4 linked regions of the Arabidopsis thaliana genome follow. The protein of the gene in region 2 interacts with the protein of the main gene of each other region in a pairwise test. Each region holds a gene or a part of one and is shown on either strand. Other genes may lie near its edges. The genes, in order: FKF1, SKP1, CUL1 and AT5G45360.

Evidence for each region.
Region 1: the proteins of SKP1 (region 2) and FKF1 interact in a two-hybrid assay, tested with the Arabidopsis thaliana proteins (3 studies listed by BioGRID).
Region 3: the proteins of SKP1 (region 2) and CUL1 interact in binary tests that used the Arabidopsis thaliana proteins (3 or more experiments, as listed by UniProt).
Region 4: the proteins of SKP1 (region 2) and AT5G45360 interact in a two-hybrid assay, tested with the Arabidopsis thaliana proteins (3 studies listed by BioGRID).

Annotation. Positions count from the first base shown.
Region 1 is NC_003070.9:25,506,766-25,511,449, reverse strand, and holds FKF1 (flavin-binding, kelch repeat, f box 1), read right to left. Parts: upstream 2,812-4,684; 5' UTR 2,714-2,811; coding exon 2,442-2,713; intron 2,341-2,441; coding exon 753-2,340; 3' UTR 543-752; downstream 1-542. Other genes in the region: MAP70-1 (microtubule-associated proteins 70-1), read left to right, coding at 19-58. UniProt on the Arabidopsis thaliana protein: Component of an E3 ubiquitin ligase complex that plays a central role in blue light-dependent circadian cycles.
Region 2 is NC_003070.9:28,514,598-28,518,447, reverse strand, and holds SKP1 (S phase kinase-associated protein 1), read right to left. Parts: upstream 1,930-3,850; 5' UTR 1,734-1,929; coding exon 1,425-1,733; intron 1,168-1,424; coding exon 994-1,167; 3' UTR 552-993; downstream 1-551. Other genes in the region: AT1G75960 (AMP-dependent synthetase and ligase family protein), read right to left, coding at 1-261; AT1G75945 (uncharacterized protein), read left to right, coding at 2,639-2,742, 2,954-3,035. UniProt on the Arabidopsis thaliana protein: Involved in ubiquitination and subsequent proteasomal degradation of target proteins. Together with CUL1, RBX1 and a F-box protein, it forms a SCF E3 ubiquitin ligase complex. The functional specificity of this complex depends on the type of F-box protein.
Region 3 is NC_003075.7:1,126,808-1,134,310, forward strand, and holds CUL1 (cullin 1), read left to right. Parts: upstream 1-1,707; 5' UTR 1,708-1,856; exon of another isoform or gene 1,857-1,950; 5' UTR 1,951-2,006; exon of another isoform or gene 2,007-2,051; intron 2,052-2,475; 5' UTR 2,476-2,507; coding exon 2,508-2,638; intron 2,639-2,724; coding exon 2,725-2,824; intron 2,825-2,998; coding exon 2,999-3,184; intron 3,185-3,266; coding exon 3,267-3,314; intron 3,315-3,403; coding exon 3,404-3,607; intron 3,608-3,695; coding exon 3,696-3,773; intron 3,774-3,973; coding exon 3,974-4,063; intron 4,064-4,145; coding exon 4,146-4,226; intron 4,227-4,348; coding exon 4,349-4,408; intron 4,409-4,488; coding exon 4,489-4,518; intron 4,519-4,622; coding exon 4,623-4,709; intron 4,710-4,800; coding exon 4,801-4,950; intron 4,951-5,023; coding exon 5,024-5,079; intron 5,080-5,265; coding exon 5,266-5,386; intron 5,387-5,478; coding exon 5,479-5,640; intron 5,641-5,725; coding exon 5,726-5,869; intron 5,870-5,951; coding exon 5,952-6,170; and 6 more. Other genes in the region: LD (Homeodomain-like superfamily protein), read right to left, coding at 1-84, 179-546, 676-806, 960-987, 1,281-1,445.
Region 4 is NC_003076.8:18,383,960-18,388,400, reverse strand, and holds AT5G45360 (F-box family protein), read left to right. Parts: upstream 1-1,529; 5' UTR 1,530-1,730; coding exon 1,731-1,793; intron 1,794-2,110; coding exon 2,111-2,314; intron 2,315-2,396; coding exon 2,397-2,470; intron 2,471-2,583; coding exon 2,584-2,659; intron 2,660-2,809; coding exon 2,810-2,920; intron 2,921-3,004; coding exon 3,005-3,179; intron 3,180-3,262; coding exon 3,263-3,439; intron 3,440-3,547; coding exon 3,548-3,618; 3' UTR 3,619-3,912; downstream 3,913-4,441.

The sequences.
Region 1 (4,684 bases), 3.0 Mb from region 2:
GTGTTCGATATTCTGCAGAGCTGCTGGCCGAAGTGGGTTAACAAGGAGTACACAATGAGATGAGGGAGGAGATGTGACTAGTTCTTGTGGTCGTATCAGTTTAAACAAGTAAAACCGTTATAGGCTGGTGTGATTTTTAAGCTCTTTTTAACCTTTATATCTCTTTTTTATTTCTCTTGCTTTCCTTTACATCCTCTGTGATTTATTGAATTACCATAGAACTTAAGGATGAAAAAGATAAGTATGCTTTCTGACTTAGATCGGCTTACACTGCTTAGCGATGACGACAAGAAAAAAGGGTGGAGGGAGAGATGTTTGACATTTTCGCATAACATTTTCTGTCCTATGGAAGTAGTTTGTTTGGCTGTATAGGTTTTAGCTCTGTATTGAAGTTTGTGTACTTTACTTTTTCGGTTTCTTCATTCTATTTACTTGAGGTGTTGTGTGATTATTTCTACTTTTGGGTTTGTGGATATATATATATATGTCCAAACTCAGTGTCTTCTCTCTTTTGGATGGTACGTCAAAAATCAAATCCTGCATGGTCGAGTAACAAGGAGAAGTATATTATAGAAGGATCTTCATACAGCAAAACCATTAACATTACATGAATATCTATCTAAAGCGTACAACAATCACTAATTTACTATGTACACACGCTTCTAGCTTCTGATATATCTCTTCTACATGTCGTAAGAGTTTGGAATGTGACAGATACAAAACCACAAACCAAATGAAGAAGGAAAGAGTCTTTACAGATCCGAGTCTTGCCGGCTAGCCAAGCAGAGTTCATGTAATTCATTGAGTATCCATTCCTCACCAGTGTGACCACCAAGGACCAATACTCTAGTTCCTCCAACAACGCATGTGCTATGTCCCCAAGCTAACTTAGGCGGTTTCCCGGGGACATTCAGGATCCTCCATGACGGTTTCTCTTCTGCAGGATCTATTAGAAACAGTTGCGAAGGAGAGTGAAGCCCTGCAATCGACCCTCCAAAGATGATGACCCTACCACACGGCATGCTCACAGCCACATGGTCTAGTCTTGGAGGCGGTACAACCACGCCTGGGAATGCGCTACACTCAAGCTCTCTCCATCTTGGTTCTTCATCCTCCAAGTCTATAGTGTATGCCTCCCCTGACCTTAGCTTTAGATGACCACTATTTGCAAGCCCGCCAAACATTAGGATTTTAGTCCGACCAAAGACCGATAAAGAATGCCCAAGTCTAGAAGGAGGAGCCCATGATGTCGGGATCTCTTTCCATGTCGGTTTATCTGTTGTCAGATCCAACAAGAAGGTGTCGCTGAGAAGCACTCCAGCGTCTGTGCAGCCACCTGAGACAACCAGTTTAGAGCCCTCAATGGTGCACGAGCTGTGCCAAGATCTTGGCAATGGAGGAGTTCCTCCTGCTACTTCCTTCCATGTGGGATGCTTAGCGTCTAGATCAAGCACAAATACATCATTAAGCAATCCTTGTCTTCCACACCCTCCAAAGACTACCAACCACGACCCGTTGAGACACGAGAGTGTGTGTCCCCAACGTCCTGGAGGCGACGACGTCACCCTCACACGCTGCCACTCAGGACACTCTGCATCAAGATTGAGAACAAAAGTATCATCCAATGGCTGCATGTTAACCCCTTCCCCACCAAATAGCACAAGCCGGTTCCCAACAGCACACGCGCTGAAATTGCAGCGGGAAGGTTGTACAATCCCTCCAACAGTAAATTTACGCCAACACACAGCTTCAAGAGTGGTGAGCTCTCTAGCTAACCGACCCCATCTTAGCTTCTTAGTCATAATCTCCAGTGTTCCAGTTATCTCTTTTCCCCACGCATTCTGACATACCATCTTCCTCACACTCTCGTTCTTCGTCAACTGCCTCAACCTCCTGCAAGCAGAACCAATTGAAGCAACGTCCCTTGGAGTTAACCGAGATAAGATGTTATGAGCCAAAACTTCATCAGATAGCTGCAATATCCCACAGAAATCTTCATGATGCTCCTTAAACCTCGGGCTTCCACTTGGAAACAAGCACTCAGATGTTTGATCAAGCTGTTGTTTATGTTTGAACACAGGATACGAGACACGGTCAAGGTCTATAGTCGTTTCAGAGAAGACCTGTATCCCAATTACGTGTGTAATGGTTCCATCATCGTCACGTATTGGAGCAAGCCGTAGTCTGTTAACCAAAGGAGTACCATCTTTTCTGAAATTAAGAAGCTCTCCTTGGAATTCAATACCTTCTTCAAGACATCTCCTAATCTCAGATACAACCACAGGATCAACCAATGGGTGACGCCTTTGAGCTCGAGGATCTCTGTACTGTAGGAATCGACTGAAACCAAGCAGATTCAACCACAAATGCAGCATTATTCAAGAGAATTGATAACAACACACTCCAATTCAAAAAGGGGGAAATCGGAGAAATTAATATACCAGTTACGACCAAGAACTTCATCGGCACGATAGCCAGTGAAGACTTCGAAGACTCTGTTGACATAGATCAAAGGAAAATCTGGCTCCAGAGCATCGGAAACAATGAACGAAGGCGGAGTCATTGGGTAATAGAACATCCCAACCTCTAACGGAAGCTTCTCATCCTCTACTTGTTCTTCGATTCCATCGTTACAGTATTCTTCTGCTTCTTCAACTCTGCCGCGTTTCTTTCGTTTTCCGGTGGCTTCTCCGATCGCATGTTCTCTCGCCATTTTTCTCGCTTACAGAAATATCTTCTTCTTCTCTGATAAGCTCTCAGCCTTATGATATTTTATTTCTTTTTGTGTCTGTTTAAACTTTTAAAATATCTTGGCTTAGTTGGTGACTTATTGACGAATATACCCTTTATATTTAAGACGAGGCAAGAAGTCTTCGCGCCAGGAGTTGGTGGCAATTTTCGTAATTAAAAGGATATATCAGGGGTATGTTTAAAAAAAGTAAGTCTACTCTTGTTCGATTGTAACACGTCACCAGGGGATATTCCGAGAAAATATCTAGCCTACTCAACCACTCGCTTCTTCCACGTCATCATATTTTGTGAAAGATATTTGTTTTTTTTTTGAAGATTGAGATTTGAGGGAAGATATTTGTTTTTGTTTGTGAAGTGTTGGAACTTGGAAGTTGGAACGCAATTGGAATCAGATTCACGTAACCGTTGACTCTGGTCAAATAATAGATATTTTTGTGAAACGCGATTCTCGAAAAGGTTACACATAATGTTAATGTAACAAATTGAGTTTTCGTGGTGAGTGGAATGGGATGATGAGACAAGGGAGTTTTTCTCCCCAGTTGAGAAAATTCAGATTTAGCTCTAAAACTTCCCACTTATATAAGTTTCTAAACAAAAAAATTACATTAGAAATACGAAAATGTACGTAAGTAATGTAAATATGTAATAATTGATAGCAATAGTGGCCATAGACCCCACATAGTGGCATACTATGAGAGTAATAGAGTTAAGTGTAGTCCTAAGATTTACAGAAGTCCAGATCTAGGCCCATACTAAATAGCTAGCCCACAAAGCCCACACAAAAACTTAATTTGAACCAAATAAATAGACAACATATTTTTTTTATTTTTCTTAACCGTGTGAGAAGGCTTCTGACCATAATCTTTCAAGTACATGAAATCAACCTTTACATATTCCAATTGTGTTCAACCAAAAAAATATTCCAATTTAAATAATATATTTCCATTCCAAAAAACTAAACACAAGAAAACTAACCCTTTTGGTATATAGACAAAATAATTGTTTCATAGATTTATCTTTTTATTTTATCTTTAATTTCTATACAATTAAAGGTAAATTAAAGGTAATTTCTATACCACTCCAACATTTCCTGTTATGTTTCATTAGCTACTTCAAGTTTTAGATTTATATCGGGTTCACAAGACGTCAATAAATTACATTCCTTATCACCTCAATAAAAAAAGTTATGATTTTTTGTTTTTCTTATTTTTTCTTTACTTTTTGATATAAAAAAAAGTTCTGGCTTTTGTTATGTAATTTGATTTTTTGAACACAAACAATCGAAACTCAAACATCTTTTTGGTGGACTAAAACCCAACAACTTTTTTTGATTGATGAAAAAAATAACATTCATTTTTGGAGAATATAAATTCAGGGAAATTTATAATTAATTAAAGGTATTGAGGCTCTATCTATTGCCAATACTTTTGGGACCGCTTGGTTCATCGCGAAGACAAAGAGACATGTTCAAAAACAATGGTACTCATCGCACCCCTGTCACTAGAATAATAGCCACTAATCCTAGTCTAACATTGGCCGGTCTGGTCTTTTTCTTTTTAAATAGTTTCATGATTGTCATCATCTCAATTTTTGTGTAAGTTAAGTTATGAGTTAATTAATGACAGAAATAGAGCGAGCAATAGTTTCTTTTGAAGTCGTGAAATGTATAACATCAATATAGATCCAAGTATGATTTTTGACCACATCCAAATTACAAATTAAAAACAAAAAAATTCTATAAATGTTTCGAATATTTATATAAAAACAGACGAAGAAAAATTGAAGTTTTGAATCATGAATGAAACAAAATCGTGCTAAGCAAAACAATTTAAATGGTTGGTGTACTGCATGTGCTTTAACGTGAGCAGTTTAATGAGAATTAGGGTTCCACATGTTAATATATATTTATAATGTTATCACAAAAATATATTTG
Region 2 (3,850 bases):
CATCGGAACGGAAAACTGGAGCTCGTACATTTCCGGAGTATTAGCAGATAGGACAGAGACAACGTCGGATCTTCCTATTCCAATGGAAGACAGAGCAGACGCGACGCAGAGGCAACGGTGATTCGTTTCTCGCCATGTGTACACGGTGGAATTGCCGTAAACGATGGAGGTACAGTCTCCATACACGGTGGCTGCTCTCTCAAGAAAGCCTAACAGTGTCAATGGTAACGAGTTAGCGGCACTTGGCTTCAAATCTTCCATTTTCTTTAGCTCTTTTCGAGTGACCACAATGTGAGTGTTACTGTATATAAAGAAGATATCTCTTTCAGTCTCATAGTAAAGATAAGATACACAATGACGAGACGAGAGACCACTTGACTAGCCAGACAAACAATTAAAGTAATTATATTGATGTACATGTGATCCACGTTCGGTTGAGTGGAAACTTTGTTTTCTTATATGCAAACAAAGCCCACATGTTATCGAATGTTGACGAATGGGTGATGCTGATTATGTTAGTATTTGAGAAGATGTTGACAAGATACAAATACGTGATGCAGATATTTATGTAAGTAGATGAGCAGGAGCAGGGCATAACTGGTGACCATTGGTTTCAATGAGTAGTCGTCATGATCCTTCACATTCTGCTTGCAGACTCTGCCAAATTCAGTTTCTTTTTATTTACACATGAACATTCCTAAAATGAATCGTGCAAATTAGCATTCTGTGGCGATTGGCAAGACAATTGAAAGAAGTTATTTTGTAAGACAAACCAACATCACTCTTGAAGATTATCTAAAAGCACAAATTATCCATCCCACAAAGAGTAAGAAACATTGGTTCTTGATAAGAAAGAAAGAAGAGGAAGAAGATAGTCATGATTCATGAAGAATATTAAAAAGCAAGTCATCAACAACACTTGAAAACGGCAATAAACATAAGGAAGAAGAAACTGGTTGCTTGCTGCTTTTGATTCTTCTCTCTGAAGATCAATCATTCAAAAGCCCATTGGTTCTCTCTGCGAACCTCTTCCTCTTCCTCTGGTGTGAAGTCGTTCTTAATGTTGAACGTTGTGCGGATCTCTTCTGGAGTCTTTCCTTTGATCATATCCGCAACTGTCTGACATGTTAGATCAAGCAAGTTCTTGATATTCAGGTAATTAGCAGCCTGCACAAGATCCCAAATTCATAACCATTAGATCAAAATCCGAATCCAAAAACACAGATATGATTATAATCCAAATCGATAGATTCAATTAATGATTGGTTCCATAAGAACCCTAACAATATCAATCTCAAGCAGATTCAATTTCTGAAACAAACACCTAAATTTCGAAACCCTAATTTTCCCAAATCGAAAACCCTAGAATCCCAAAATTCAAAATTCGATGGAAAAATCAAATCAGATCGAGAGAAGAAACATACCAGAATGAGTTCAAAGAGAGTAGCTTGATCGATCTTCATAAAATCAGCGTCCCAGGCCTTAAGATCGTCATCGGAGGTAGCAGCACCCTCGACGGCCTCGGCCTTAGAGGCAGCAGCCTCGACGTGCCTCTTGCAATACTCGATCACCTTGGCGAGGATCTTGCTCGTGACGTTAGGAAGAGGGACTCCGTTGTCGACGCAGTCGTCTTCAACCATATGCGCTATGGTTTGTGACTCGAGAGCCACCGCCTCCTCAACCTCGAAAGATTCACCATCGGAACTCTTCAACACAATCTTCTTCGCAGACATGGTTATGGAAACGAAGAGAGAAGAGAAAGATTTTAGATTTGGGAGATTTGTTCTTTGAAGAAAATTTTGGAGAAGCGATGAATGAAATAAAGAGATGCGTCTCTCTTTATATATAAAACAATCCCTAATTTTGATAAGTCGGTCGATTGTTAAAAAGTCGCAAGTTTAGGGAAATTAGGAAATTGTTTCAAATTTTGTTTTTCTAAAAGAAAAATAGAAATCAATCCTATTGATTTTAAATTTTGTTTTCAATAGTTGAAATTAATGAAATTAGGACTCTGTTCTATTTTTCTTTTGGAAATATTAACTTTGATCCGTTTAATTCGTTGTATTTATCTCATTATTAATAATATATGATTTTATATATATTTTTTTTCCATCCAGCTCCATAATTGTCAAAAAAAGTAAAAGAACCAAAAATCACCGTAGGATAAGTATTAGTCAATCAAATCAGCTTTGTCAGCTTTAAGATCATGTTTTTTGAACATTTATTTTTATTTTATATTAAGTTAATATTAATATGTCATAATAAATAATATATCTAACTAGTTTTTGGTCAAGAGTCATACAATATTTTAGGCCTGGGATAACGGTTCAACCCGAGAAAACCGAACCGAAAAAAACGAAAATTTTGGTTTTCGGCAGCAACCGAATTAAGGAGATCGAACCGATCGGCCAAATTAATTTAAGAATTCGGAAGTCGGTTCGGGTCGGTTCGGTAATCGGAACCAATCGGTTTCACCCATACCGAGAATCTGCAGCCATATATAAGGTTAATTGATGAGTCTTAACCTAATTAGGTTTCTTCTTCGTTTTTGGCTCTCTGCCTCTTGCGAAAACAACAAAGAAACTTTGATATTTTTCTTCGATTGAATTAGTAATCATCAACTCGTCTCTTCTCCTTCATGAATTCATCATCTTCCAAGCCTCTTTCATTCTCTCTAATCTCAGTTGGTCTTACAAAAAACCTTTGCTCAGAGATTCAACCCACAACCTCAACTTTCTTAGGGTAAACTCTTCTTATTTCTCTTTAATCATTTGTTTTGTTTGATTCTTTGCTCTCTAAGCTCTTCCTCTGTCTCTATAATTTCTGAAATTTTAGAGTTAGGCTTTACACTTCCAAATCTGAGATTATCCATTATTTTTATGGATCTTTTATGGTTTACACTTCCATCTCATGTTTTTTCTTACTTCATGGATAACAAACGGGCGTTTAACAGGTCTCGTAGGGCATTACGTCGTCGGAATGGTAGATCACTAGATTGGAGAGGCACTGCTCGACGTCGCAGTTTGGAGTTGTAGTCGTACATATTTTTTTTGTCAAAACTCAAAACCCTAATTTTGTAATGGACCTGACCCATAATTGTGTTGTGGATTTGTAATTGTAACTGTATATTTGTGTATTGGGCCTGTTGTTTGTTTTTTATTAGATTTCATTTTTGTAAGTCCATTTTTTTAATTTGTGGTTTATTTGGTTCAAATTAACCGAATTAGAAAAAAAATCGGTTTAATCCGGAATTTAATTTATACCCAATAACCGAACCGAAAAAACCGATGTCCGAACCGACCCGAACCGAATTTTTGTTCGGTTCAATTCGGCTAGAAATTAAAAAATCCAAAAACCCCGAAAAACTAAATAAACCGAACCGATTAAACCGATATATCCGAACTCCCAGGGCTACAATATTTATATAATGCTGTGGATTTTATTCTCTCTTTCATTTATTTCTTAATGGGTAATATATATTCTTAGATATAATATTCAACTTTGTTTTGTTTTCTTTTCTAGTTATAACTAATCATATACATCAAGATAAGGTGTATGATTTATATGCTTACTTATATGATTATATGGTAACTTTTTTGAAATGCATTCAGTTTTTTTAGTTATAACGTATTTTATTCTTTATTTACATGGTTTTTTGTAATTTAAAATGGACATGTGTCATACAAAAAAAGCATTATAACATTTTTATATAATATTATATTTTTATCACTTCTTACTGTCCATAGAAAAAATTATATTACCCTCTACAAAACCGTGGATGGAGGATAGGATGATGATTCTCACCTACCAAATTCAAGTATCTTCTTAAAGATACTGAGTCTTATCAGAA
Region 3 (7,503 bases), on a different chromosome or scaffold from region 2:
AGAAGTAAGACACTTGTTTGCTCTTCACTAGCAGCTTGACTTAACCATGTTGTAAGTATCAAAACCCCTCCTTTTGATAAAAACCTGTGGCACATATAGAAAATGACTGTCAAGACGGGAATATAATAACAATAAAATAAAATAAGACAGTGGGTGAAAGAGAACCCCCAACTAGTACCAGATCAGCACAGAAGCATCTTGTATCTGCATGATCCACTCCATTAGTTTCACCTGGCCTGAAAATGTTTCCTCTTTACGCAGCAGAGAAAATATATTCTCAACAAAGTATTTGTCTGAATCGCTGATGTCAGGTGGAATATCTTCAGGTGGAATAAGTGCCACTGTTTCACCTTCACCCCAGCTTATAGAACATGCCTCCGGATGTATAGAGTTCAAGGGAACGGGTTCAACATGATTTGTGGCATTGTTATTTTCCGGAACACCATCATCTTGTAAAGCATGCGTATTGGACATAACTACTTTCTCCCTTGAAAGCCTCACCTGTTTCCTCACTCTTGTCTTTTGAGTAACAAAAAATTCTCGAACCTGCCATTGAAGAAAATAATAAAGAGACAAACCAAAGTCTCATGAGTACCTCAACATGACAGATCTAAACTGACATGGAATTCTAAAAGCATGGCAAAAAAGAGTACATATCATGTAGAAGAACAATACCTGGGCGACTGTGATGCCAAATAAAGCACTTATCTCCCGAGATTCCCTCTTACTAATAGCATCTTTAATTGCGAAAACTGCTTGTAGATACTTAACAGCCTTAGGATTCAACAAGTCTCTTGGCCGCTTTCCTGAAATATTTACAAATTCATCAGATACTAGGCATCGAGCACGTAAAAGTTGGGTATGCCTTTAATGAACCTAGAGAGCAACAATGAATTGAAACATTCTCTGTGATATACGTAATTATGCCAAAAGATCTCACGAATCCTAAGATGACTCACCAATTTTAATGGACAAAGCACCAGCAGCCTGAAACAACAAAAAAATTAAACAGATTAATGTCTTTAACAGAGATGATTACTTGATCAGAGAAATGACATATAAACAGTTGAAGCATCACCATTACAGTTCACAGAAGAAACGGAGAGGTCGAGCTATATGAATTTATACCAAAAACACCTCTAATTTTTGCTAGACTCAATACCCTTCAAAGAATTTATTCCAAAATCCGAATGACCTGTCCCTCTCAGCTTTGCCCATATCACCATACCCCAATAAAACACGAACTTTAGATACCAAAAAACATAGAAACAATAACCCACCATTTCTTGCGCAAGGGGATTAACGCCGGTAAGTTTGCATTGCGCAACGACGACATCTTGGAGCTGATCGATCTGGCTATGAAAAAGCACCTTCTGCGAATCCAATAGCTCCATTAAAGACTCCACCGAGCTCCCGATTTCTATCTCCTCCTTGAACGCGTCCATGGCCGCCGACGGAAAACTCGAAGACCAATACGCAAACCGAATTCAAAATGTGCATCAGGGAATTAAACTGAAACGTAGGACTCAGTGATTCGAATGTGTTGAAACGATAAATTCAATGAACATGGTTACCTAATTTCGGATTGTCAAAAAGCCGATTCGGGTTAGGGTTTGAGTAAGGAAGGCAAAATAAAGGGGCATAAAAGTAAATAAGTTACTTTACAAAGAAAAATTATAAAACGCAGCGTCTTGATGTAGATCTCTGAAAAGGTAAGAAATTAAATTTGTTTAATATTATACTAATATATTAGTTGACATAAAATAAAAATAATTAAATCTATAAGACCTGAAAATAATAGAATAGAAGAGAACGAGTTTGTTTCCTGAGATATCTTTTCACCGCCCTTCTCATAGGTCTCGTCTCTCTTTCTCTCTATTTTACGCTTTTTTCCTGAACGATTCTTAGGGTTTTGATTCTCTCTCTCTCTCGCTTCTTTTTCGATCGCAGCAGCTCTCGCCGATCCTGTGTAATCGGGAATCGGTAATCGTCAGGGTCTGTTTGGGGTACGGCGACGCGATTTTCTGATTATTAGGGTTTAAGATCTCGAGGTATCACTATTTCTGTCGGATTCTCGCTTGTTTTGTTCCATACGACAGTTGATTTTTTTATCATTCTGTTGATTGTTCGTCTTTCTAGGTTTTTATTTGAATTTTTGTGGGATCGAGATTGTTAGGGTTACGTCGGAGTCTCTGGATTGCGTTTCTACTGTGTAATTTCGTGTTTATCTCATGGATTGATTGTTTCTCGAGTATATTCTGATGCTTATGTCCTCGTTTGCGCACAATCTGATAGTTTGGGTTTGATTTGGGTGATAATACTCGTTTCGCATTCGATAATGTGGGTGTTAACGTGTTATTATAACCTCTGAAGAATGATAAATATTGTTGACTCTCTCGCTTCAGTCATTTCATTGTGTTGCTTAATACTGCTGTTCTAAATTTTGGTTTTCTCCTTGTTCTTTGGTTAACTTAGGTTGAGGAGAGCTTGAAAAGTTGTTTGTCAACATGGAGCGCAAGACTATTGACTTGGAGCAAGGATGGGACTATATGCAGACTGGAATTACTAAGCTGAAACGGATTCTGGAAGGATTGAATGAGCCAGCATTTGACTCTGAGCAATATATGATGCTTTATACGTAGGTTTTATACTTGTTTATTACCTTATATAGCGGTTTGGCTGTTTGTCCTGATACTTATGATGGGGAATTTATTTGATTCTCAGGACTATCTACAACATGTGCACCCAGAAACCTCCTCATGATTACTCACAGCAGCTTTATGACAAGTATCGGGAAGCATTTGAGGAATATATTAACTCAACAGTGAGTCTGATTGATATTTAGTTTCTTTCTTATAAACTTCTCGTTTTTACTACCTCTGAATTTTAAGATGCCACTTTTGTGCATGGTTTCATATGTCAAGAAGTCCTGTCCCCTCTTGGTTTTAAGTTGATTCAAACGGTTTTGAATGTTTGCTCTCTTGTTGTCTGTGGTTAGGTTTTGCCTGCGTTGAGGGAGAAGCATGATGAGTTTATGCTGCGGGAGCTATTTAAAAGATGGTCAAACCATAAAGTAATGGTCAGATGGCTATCCCGCTTCTTCTACTACCTTGACCGTTACTTCATTGCTCGGAGATCACTTCCACCACTGAATGAAGTTGGCCTGACATGCTTCCGTGACCTGGTATGGCATTCATTCCTGTGGCTTTATAGCTTTCAGTTGTATTGAAATATTTTTAACTTTTCCTTGATTCTGTTCGCTTCAGGTTTATAATGAGCTACATTCTAAGGTCAAACAAGCTGTAATAGCTCTTGTAAGTATGGCGTCAATATTGTTGTGCAGTTACATCCAACTCTGGCTTTTGCCTGATTCAAGGTCTAACATGACCTGTTCTTCTGTCAGGTTGATAAAGAACGGGAGGGCGAGCAGATTGATAGGGCCCTGCTGAAAAACGTATTAGATATCTATGTAGAGATTGGAATGGGGCAGATGGAGAGGTATGAAGAAGATTTTGAAAGCTTCATGCTTCAAGATACTTCTTCGTATTATTCTCGCAAGGCATCAAGCTGGATTCAGGAAGATTCTTGCCCTGATTACATGTTGAAGGCATGACTCGTGATATCATTTTCTAAAATTTGTTTTTATTTCACAATAGTTGAAATTATTTATTAACTTCTGTGCTTTCATGTTACAGTCTGAAGAATGTCTAAAGAAGGAGAGGGAGAGAGTGGCTCACTACCTACACTCAAGCAGTGAGCCAAAGCTGGTTGAGGTTGGTTATTATGCACTATGTAATTATGCCTGTACTTGTAGGTTTGATGAAGAAACCATAGATCTTGCATAAGCCTTGATTTTGAATTTTGTTATTTGTATTGAGATACTTTCCAGACTCTTTTTAAATGCGTAGTCCAGGCATACTTGATTTTAAAGATTGATATCTGTTTGACTTGTATAGTAATCTTTTGTATGCAGAAAGTACAACATGAATTGCTGGTTGTGTTTGCAAGTCAGCTTCTAGAAAAAGAACACTCAGGGTGCCGTGCATTGCTAAGAGATGACAAGGTAGAGCAAGTATTTTTGTTTTTATTGTTGAGTAGTTAGTGACTTAATTATTTCTTTAATGGTTATATTTGTCTACTTTCAGGTGGATGATCTCTCCAGGATGTACAGGCTTTACCATAAAATTTTGCGAGGCTTGGAACCTGTTGCAAACATCTTTAAGCAGGTTTATTACCTATCTTCATTCTTTTGTTTATGATTAGCAAATGGATAGTCTTTTCTTCATGGTCTACTTGCAGTCTCTTAATTACTGTATGACATTAACTGTAACTTGTTATTCGTTCACAGCATGTCACAGCAGAGGGTAACGCTCTTGTCCAACAGGCCGAAGACACGGCTACTAATCAGGTTCATATTATCTTACTTGTTATATTCGGATAACTCTTCTTTCTTCGTTTGTGATTGCTAAGATCGTTTTTATTCCACAGGTTGCAAATACTGCTAGCGTCCAGGAACAGGTAAAATTATAAACCGATTGTAGTAAAGATATATTGGAAATTAGAGATTCATTTTTTTTGGGGATAAAATTGCTAACGATTCACTGTCCTTTCATTATTTCCAGGTTCTTATCAGAAAAGTGATTGAACTTCATGATAAATACATGGTATATGTCACCGAGTGTTTCCAGAACCACACCCTCTTCCATAAGGTCTAATGTTCTTTCTGCGCACTTGTCATTTGTCTATCTTATTCATGTTTATGTTGTGTTACTAACCTAAGTTTATGGAAACATATTTTAGGCTTTGAAAGAGGCATTTGAGATTTTTTGTAACAAAACGGTTGCTGGAAGTTCAAGTGCAGAACTACTTGCAACATTTTGCGACAATATTCTCAAAAAGGGGGGAAGTGAAAAGCTGAGTGATGAAGCTATCGAAGATACGCTTGAGAAGGTACTTTTGTCAAACTGTTTTTTCTTTTTCAAGTCTCCAAAGAGTGGTCCTGAATTTTATAATGTTGTTACAGGTTGTCAAATTGCTTGCATACATAAGTGACAAGGATCTTTTCGCTGAGTTCTACAGGTTTATCTCCAACTTCAATCTTTCTTTATCTGTGGATCGACTCTTTTTGCTTCTACTCTTTGTTTTTCTTGTAATGTTTTGTTTTTACTAGCTTTTTGTGGAGATGCCTTGCAACAATATACAATTTGATTGACATAAGTTGGATTACTGAGTTGCAAGCCATTTTGTTTATGGTTTTGATTGCAGGAAGAAGCTGGCCCGTAGGCTCTTATTTGATCGCAGTGCTAATGATGATCATGAGAGAAGTATCCTGACAAAGCTCAAGCAACAATGTGGTGGACAGTTTACTTCTAAGATGGAGGGCATGGTTAGTTTGAGTGTCCCTGTGTTTCTTATTTTAAAGCGGTGCGTGCTCTGATGACTTATGTTTTCTATATAATTTTAATCCGCTGGTGACAGGTGACGGATTTGACACTGGCAAGAGAAAACCAAAACAGTTTCGAGGATTATCTAGGCAGTAACCCTGCTGCAAACCCAGGGATTGACTTGACCGTCACTGTTCTTACCACTGGTTTCTGGCCAAGTTACAAATCATTTGACATAAATCTACCCAGTGAAATGGTAAAAACTCTATTGATTTTCTTACATACCTGAAAAGGAGATTGTTTGCTTCTGATAGATCTAATTCGTTGATTCTTTGTTTCAGATCAAGTGTGTTGAAGTCTTCAAAGGGTTTTATGAAACGAAAACGAAACACAGGAAGCTTACGTGGATCTATTCACTGGGAACTTGTCACATAAACGGGAAGTTTGATCAAAAGGCCATCGAGTTAATAGTGTCTACTTACCAGGTACTGTATGTTTCTCAGAAAATACTGATATATATTTTCTATCTGTAAACGGACTCTGATGCCACGTTCTCTGTCTCTATAGGCTGCTGTGCTTCTACTCTTTAACACAACTGACAAGTTAAGTTACACTGAGATCTTGGCTCAACTGAACCTAAGCCATGAAGATCTAGTTAGGTTGCTTCATTCCTTGTCATGTGCTAAGTACAAGATACTCCTTAAGGAGCCAAACACCAAGACTGTCTCCCAGAATGATGCCTTTGAGTTCAACTCCAAATTCACCGATAGAATGCGCAGAATCAAGGTTTGTGACGTTAATAGTAATACTCAAAAGTCTGCAAGTTTATGTCATGTTTTACATATTGTTAATAACTAACATCAACTTGGGTGATTTGCGTCACAGATCCCTCTTCCCCCAGTTGATGAAAGGAAGAAAGTCGTTGAAGATGTCGATAAAGACAGAAGATATGCAATTGATGCTGCCATTGTCAGGATCATGAAGAGCAGGAAAGTATTGGGACATCAACAACTTGTTTCTGAGTGTGTTGAGCAACTTAGCCGAATGTTCAAGGTAAATTATACATATAATTATATTTATACAGAGACATTTGAAGATGCACGTGGTGATGAAACTCATTGGATTTGTGATGTTTGTTGCAGCCTGATATCAAAGCGATCAAGAAGCGTATGGAGGATTTAATAACCAGAGATTATTTGGAGAGGGACAAGGAGAATCCTAACATGTTTAGGTACTTGGCTTAGGGCAAAAAAACAACAACTATGGAAGTGGTTGGCTCATGAAAGGAATCTGCTTGTATATTTAGAAGTCCATATGGAGACTGTCCTAAAACAAATTTATCGCTTCATTTTCGCTATTTTTCTCTTTTAAAAAATATTCGGTCTGTGCTTTTTTTTTGGGATGCAAATTTGCCTTGTGGATTTTTGTTTCTTAAATATTGAATGGAGATGGAGAAATGGCCTTAATGAATGAATCTCTGCTTTCTAATATATTTATCCTTGATCATATTATTTAAGTTTTATGTATCTCTGTGTTATATTGACGGATGGGAAAGTCGTAACAAATAATATGAGATTTCTTATAATCGAACGCTAATGAGACAAAGATGAACCGACGGAAGGTGCCTTCCTCAATCGCCGAACATTAAAAATCATTGTAATCATCTACGTCATTAGCTATAGTCCACCAGAACCGTAATAGTTTCTGCTTAGGACCAATGTCTTATATTTTAAGCCGTTTTTCTGTTGTATGATGATCTGAAATATTATTGGGATACAAAGACGGGTATGTTAAGGTTAATAACAATTTTGAACGGGTTAATGGTGGAGCTGGTGGATTATATTACTTGATTCCAATGTGCTTTTTTCTTTCTTTTTTGGGTTAATATGAATTATGAACGGATCATCAAAGACGATATTTGGAGCCTACACAGAGAATGATATATACGACATGGAGAAATTCTGTTCATATATGTTTTGAGGTGCGGAGTCATTTTACTCCATCGAGCAAATGTTTCTCACTTTTTATTTGCTTGAGATTCTGTTAAACAAACAAAGAATCATGCCATTGCACTATGATGAAAAAGCTGCGAGGAGATGTGCAAATTATAAGAATCAGC
Region 4 (4,441 bases), on a different chromosome or scaffold from region 2:
TACCTCCGAATCGAGGAAGAAGAGAAGGAACACCTGTTGACTAAAGAAATTGAGATCCTTTGATTTGCTCTGTAAATTGTAATTCTAACTTCTCTGTTTTTTCGTTCCAAAAAAAAAAAAAACTTCTCTGGTCATTGTAGTCGTTGGTCTTCTTCAATTTGTTAACTATGATTTTTTGTTAAGTTGAGGCAAAAAAAAATTTGCCAGATTATTTTCTTAAATCTTATACACATTGAAGCCTAACAGATTAACACATTTGTTAAATATGCTCATATATCCTACTTAAAAAATATGAAAATTTTCCACAAAAAATGGTGTAATATAAAAATTCGGTTTACTCGGGTTAAACGGTTCGGTTTGTTCGGTTTTCCGGGTTTTTCGGTTTTCAAAAATTCTGCCGAATTGAACCGAACAAAAATTCGGTTCGGTTCGGTTCGGTACTCGGTTTTTTCGGTTCGGTTACTAGGATTTATAATTCGCCGAAATTAAACCGAATTTTTTTTAATCGGTTAACCTAATCAGTTTAGATCACAATATTAGGCATAGTGGGCTGTTTTTAAAGCCCATATCGGCTTTTGACATTTAAAAACCCAAAACTTTTTTTTTGAGGGACAAGTAAAGTCAAAAAGCCCATGACGGTTTTTAACTTTTCAAAACCCAAATTCTTTTTTTCCAGGGACAAGAAAAGCCCATCACACCCATCTAGGGTTTTGTTTTGTTTTATTTTTTGGAAATGACGGCCGTCAAAGAAAAACAAGGGTGAGATGAAGAAGAAGAACATTGAAAACAGAGAAAATAGATTTGTATTGTGCGGTGGTGAGAAAAGATGTAGAGAACCATGAAATCATTGCCAGAGAAGATCGATGTCGCGGTGGCTTAATAGAATATTTCTGCGAACCTAAAAGGTGGAGAAGAAGAACGAAGACAAGGAGAAGAAGGAGGAATAAGGAAGAATTAGAAGGTTAAAAGATAAAAATGGGTTAGAGATGAGGAGAAATAAAGGTGTTCGTGAAGAGGAGAGTTTAGAAAACAAAGAAGATGAAGTGATAGATCTAGGATTTTTCTGTTTTAAAAGGTATCTCCCCAATCCGAACAAAACCGATCGGTTTTGATGAACCGAACCGAAAAACCCGAAAACCGAAATCAATTTAAAATTCTACCGAACGATTTACAACAGAAAATCGGTTTGAAACCGAAAACCGAAATCGTCGGTTTGTTCGGTTCGGTTTAAACGGGTTATGCCGAACTTCCAGGCCTAATTTTTACAGTGTAATACTGAAGTTGGTAAAATATGCCTTTATTTATGTCGATTAGTGGATCTAGTAATATAACATTTCCTTAAATGAAAAAACTCCTTAAAAAGTAGTTGCTGATCCAATAACAAATGTTCTGTTTTAAGAAAATTTAATTATAGTAGTAGTTCGAACGTCGTTAACTCGTAATAATAATTCAGAAAAATGTTGTTATTTAATCACGTTTAGAAAGCTAATTTGTATTAATGACGCTAACGACAAGGAGGAGGGTTAGTGTTATGGGCTTATTTATTAATATATGGCCCATTTAGGTTATTAGCCCATTTATCAAAATTATTCGGCCCGAGGTCGTCTCCAATCTCACGCCACCGATTCCAAACGCCAACCCTCTCGAGTCTTGTCTCTCTCCAATCCTTTCCTTGGCCGCATAAACGCAACCATCGTCGTCGGAGCTTTGATCTTCACCGACTGAAAAGTATGTCTGTTTCCGATGAGGAAGATGAGTGTTTCGCTCGATTCCTCGAATCAGAAGTCTCATCGGTATAAAAATTTCTCCGTTTATTCAAATTTTCGATTTCATTTAGGGTTTAGTAATTTCTTCTCCATCAATCTTTGAATTTTGTAGCTGAATCTGAAATTCTGTCGAGATTTTCCCGTTCCCCTAGTTTTTTTTTTCATTTTTGATAACTTCAGTTCCTTGATCTGTAAATTTGATCTTATATGCATACATTTGAAATTTTTGAAAAATCACATAATTTTTGTTCATGTTCTTCGATTGATGTCCATTGTGATTTTGCTCTTGTTCAGCGTTGTCCTGTGAAAGGTTAGATTATTTATTGATGCTTTGGTTTTTGTAGGTAGAGGATAAAGAAGAAACGAAAGAACCTGAGGCAAAACGGCAACGTATTGAGAAAGGCGAAACAAAGGCTCTAGAGAAGGATGAAGATCAAAAGGAAAATGGTAACAAAGATAAAACTGATGCAAAGAGAATAGAGAGTGGAGTTTTCACCAATGTTCCTACTGAGCTGTTTCGTCATATTCTCAAGTTCTTATCTTCGGAGGTATATACTATATAGTTCAAACTCGAACTTTATTGATGTTTGAGGATTGCTTTTAAACTAAATTGTTTGAATGTCATTACAGGATCTTGTATCATGCTCCTTGGTTTGTAAATTTCTCAATTTTGCTGCGGCTGATGAATCCTTATGGCGTCGCCTGTAAGCCTCTTCTTGTACCCCTTATTGTCGTTGATAATCTTGTTTTCAAAATCAATACTTTGTATTCAAAAACGATGTGATGATCTTATTGGTTGTTTTTTGTTTATATGCAGGTACTGTATCCGGTGGGGTCTAACTCTTCCAAGTAGAAAGTTACGTGAATCTGCTTGGAAGAAGCTTTATATTGATGTGAGTTTCTCCTTGGTTTTTCGTATAAACTTGTTAGATGTTTCCAAGTAGTATTACATTGCTGAAGAATATACAGTGTTAGTTTGCGTTGCTAGTAGAAGTCAGATCATATATATTTTTAAGTGATTCCTTTCTCTTGTCGAATTTTAGCGTGATGAACAGGACATGATTGAACTTGTCAGAACCTGTCCGTCGGATTTCAAGGAGTATTACGTACATATGCAAGCAGCAAAGAGAAGCCAAGCACCTCTTCCGTCCCAGGTAACTATTTATAATTATCTGTTTATGTTTTAGGACAAATCATCACGTGAAGAATTTTCTCATGTTCTTGTTTGCAATTTTTAGATGGTGGATGACCGGATAATTCTTGACAATACTGTACTTGAACAAGTTTCTCTATGGAAGAAAAGCAAAGGACTTACTGATAAGGCTGTCACTGGCCATATTTGTTTGGGAACCAAATGTTCATACCATCAGATTGACGACGTGTTCATATGCAAAGAGACGGGAAATGTTCATGGTATGTAATGAAATGCTGTAAAATGTAACTTTGTTACTGTGTTTTACTCTAAACTTACATAGTTTTTATGGTCTTTATAACAGTATGCGATGATAACTGCAAGGAAGTAATACTGAGTCCAGAGGGTGACCTCATGGTGTGTACTATCTCAGGAGTTTGTTCTGATACTTTACTTGTACAAACTGAGCCAGACGCAGATGGGTGTTATGAGGAAGAAGCTGAACTAGAAGCTGAAGTATTCACAGATAAAAGCCGATTAGGTACACATCTATCTATCTCTTTCTCATATCTCTCACACACTTCCTTTTCCAAATATTATTTTTATTTTCCAACATAAGTGAACTATTTGCGTCTTCTTTTCATCGCAGCCCGAGCTTTTGAACTTGGCTACAACTGCGATGATGAGCAGGAACTGGAACGTACCCTGAGGTTCTGCTGAGCAAAAGTCTCGACCTTTTGTCCAATTTCATAAGGCCTACTTTCTGTAAGGTCTTCTCTCTCTCTCTCTCTCTGACCTGATTCTGCCTGGGTTCTGTGGAGTTGAAATGAATCAAATGTAGCTCTTGTTTTAATCAGTCAGCTTTGTAACGTATACATATATATCATTGTATGTGATTAACATTGTCCTTAAAAAGTGTTACACCTAGTAATTACGTTCCAACTTTATCAGTAAACCTATTGGTAACTAGTAATTTGCTCCCGATATTGGTTTTCTCATTAATTTTTATAGCCATTCTTTGTTCATTTAAACCATATTACAAATTTGTCCTGGTTAGAACTGATTATGATGACAAATCGATGATTAGTTCAAAATGAAGTTTATAGCAATATATTCTAATAACTATACATCAATTATCACCACTGATGTGTTTGAATGAAAAATGAATTGATAATCTTAATAAATGTTTGATTTTATAGATAAGTATAAAGTATGAATGGATTTAGAAAATTTTAGTATTTAGTGAGATAAGCATAAGCAAAACTAGAAAAATGAAATTATTATTAAATAAATTCATTAATACACATTGGCAATGTGACATTGCCTAAAATCAAATATGTACTAATTCAATTAATGTTAATAAGAATTTTTTGGATTCGATTCTCTTGCGAAAGTGCAAATTAAAAGACATTCTTATCTCCTACGTAAACAGAATCACGCGTCCATTGCGCGTTCTCGCAACGCTAAAATATTTACGTTGGAAAATATTCTCATAATTCTCTCCTTTGCCCCCACAGTTTAATATATTTCATAAACACCCCCA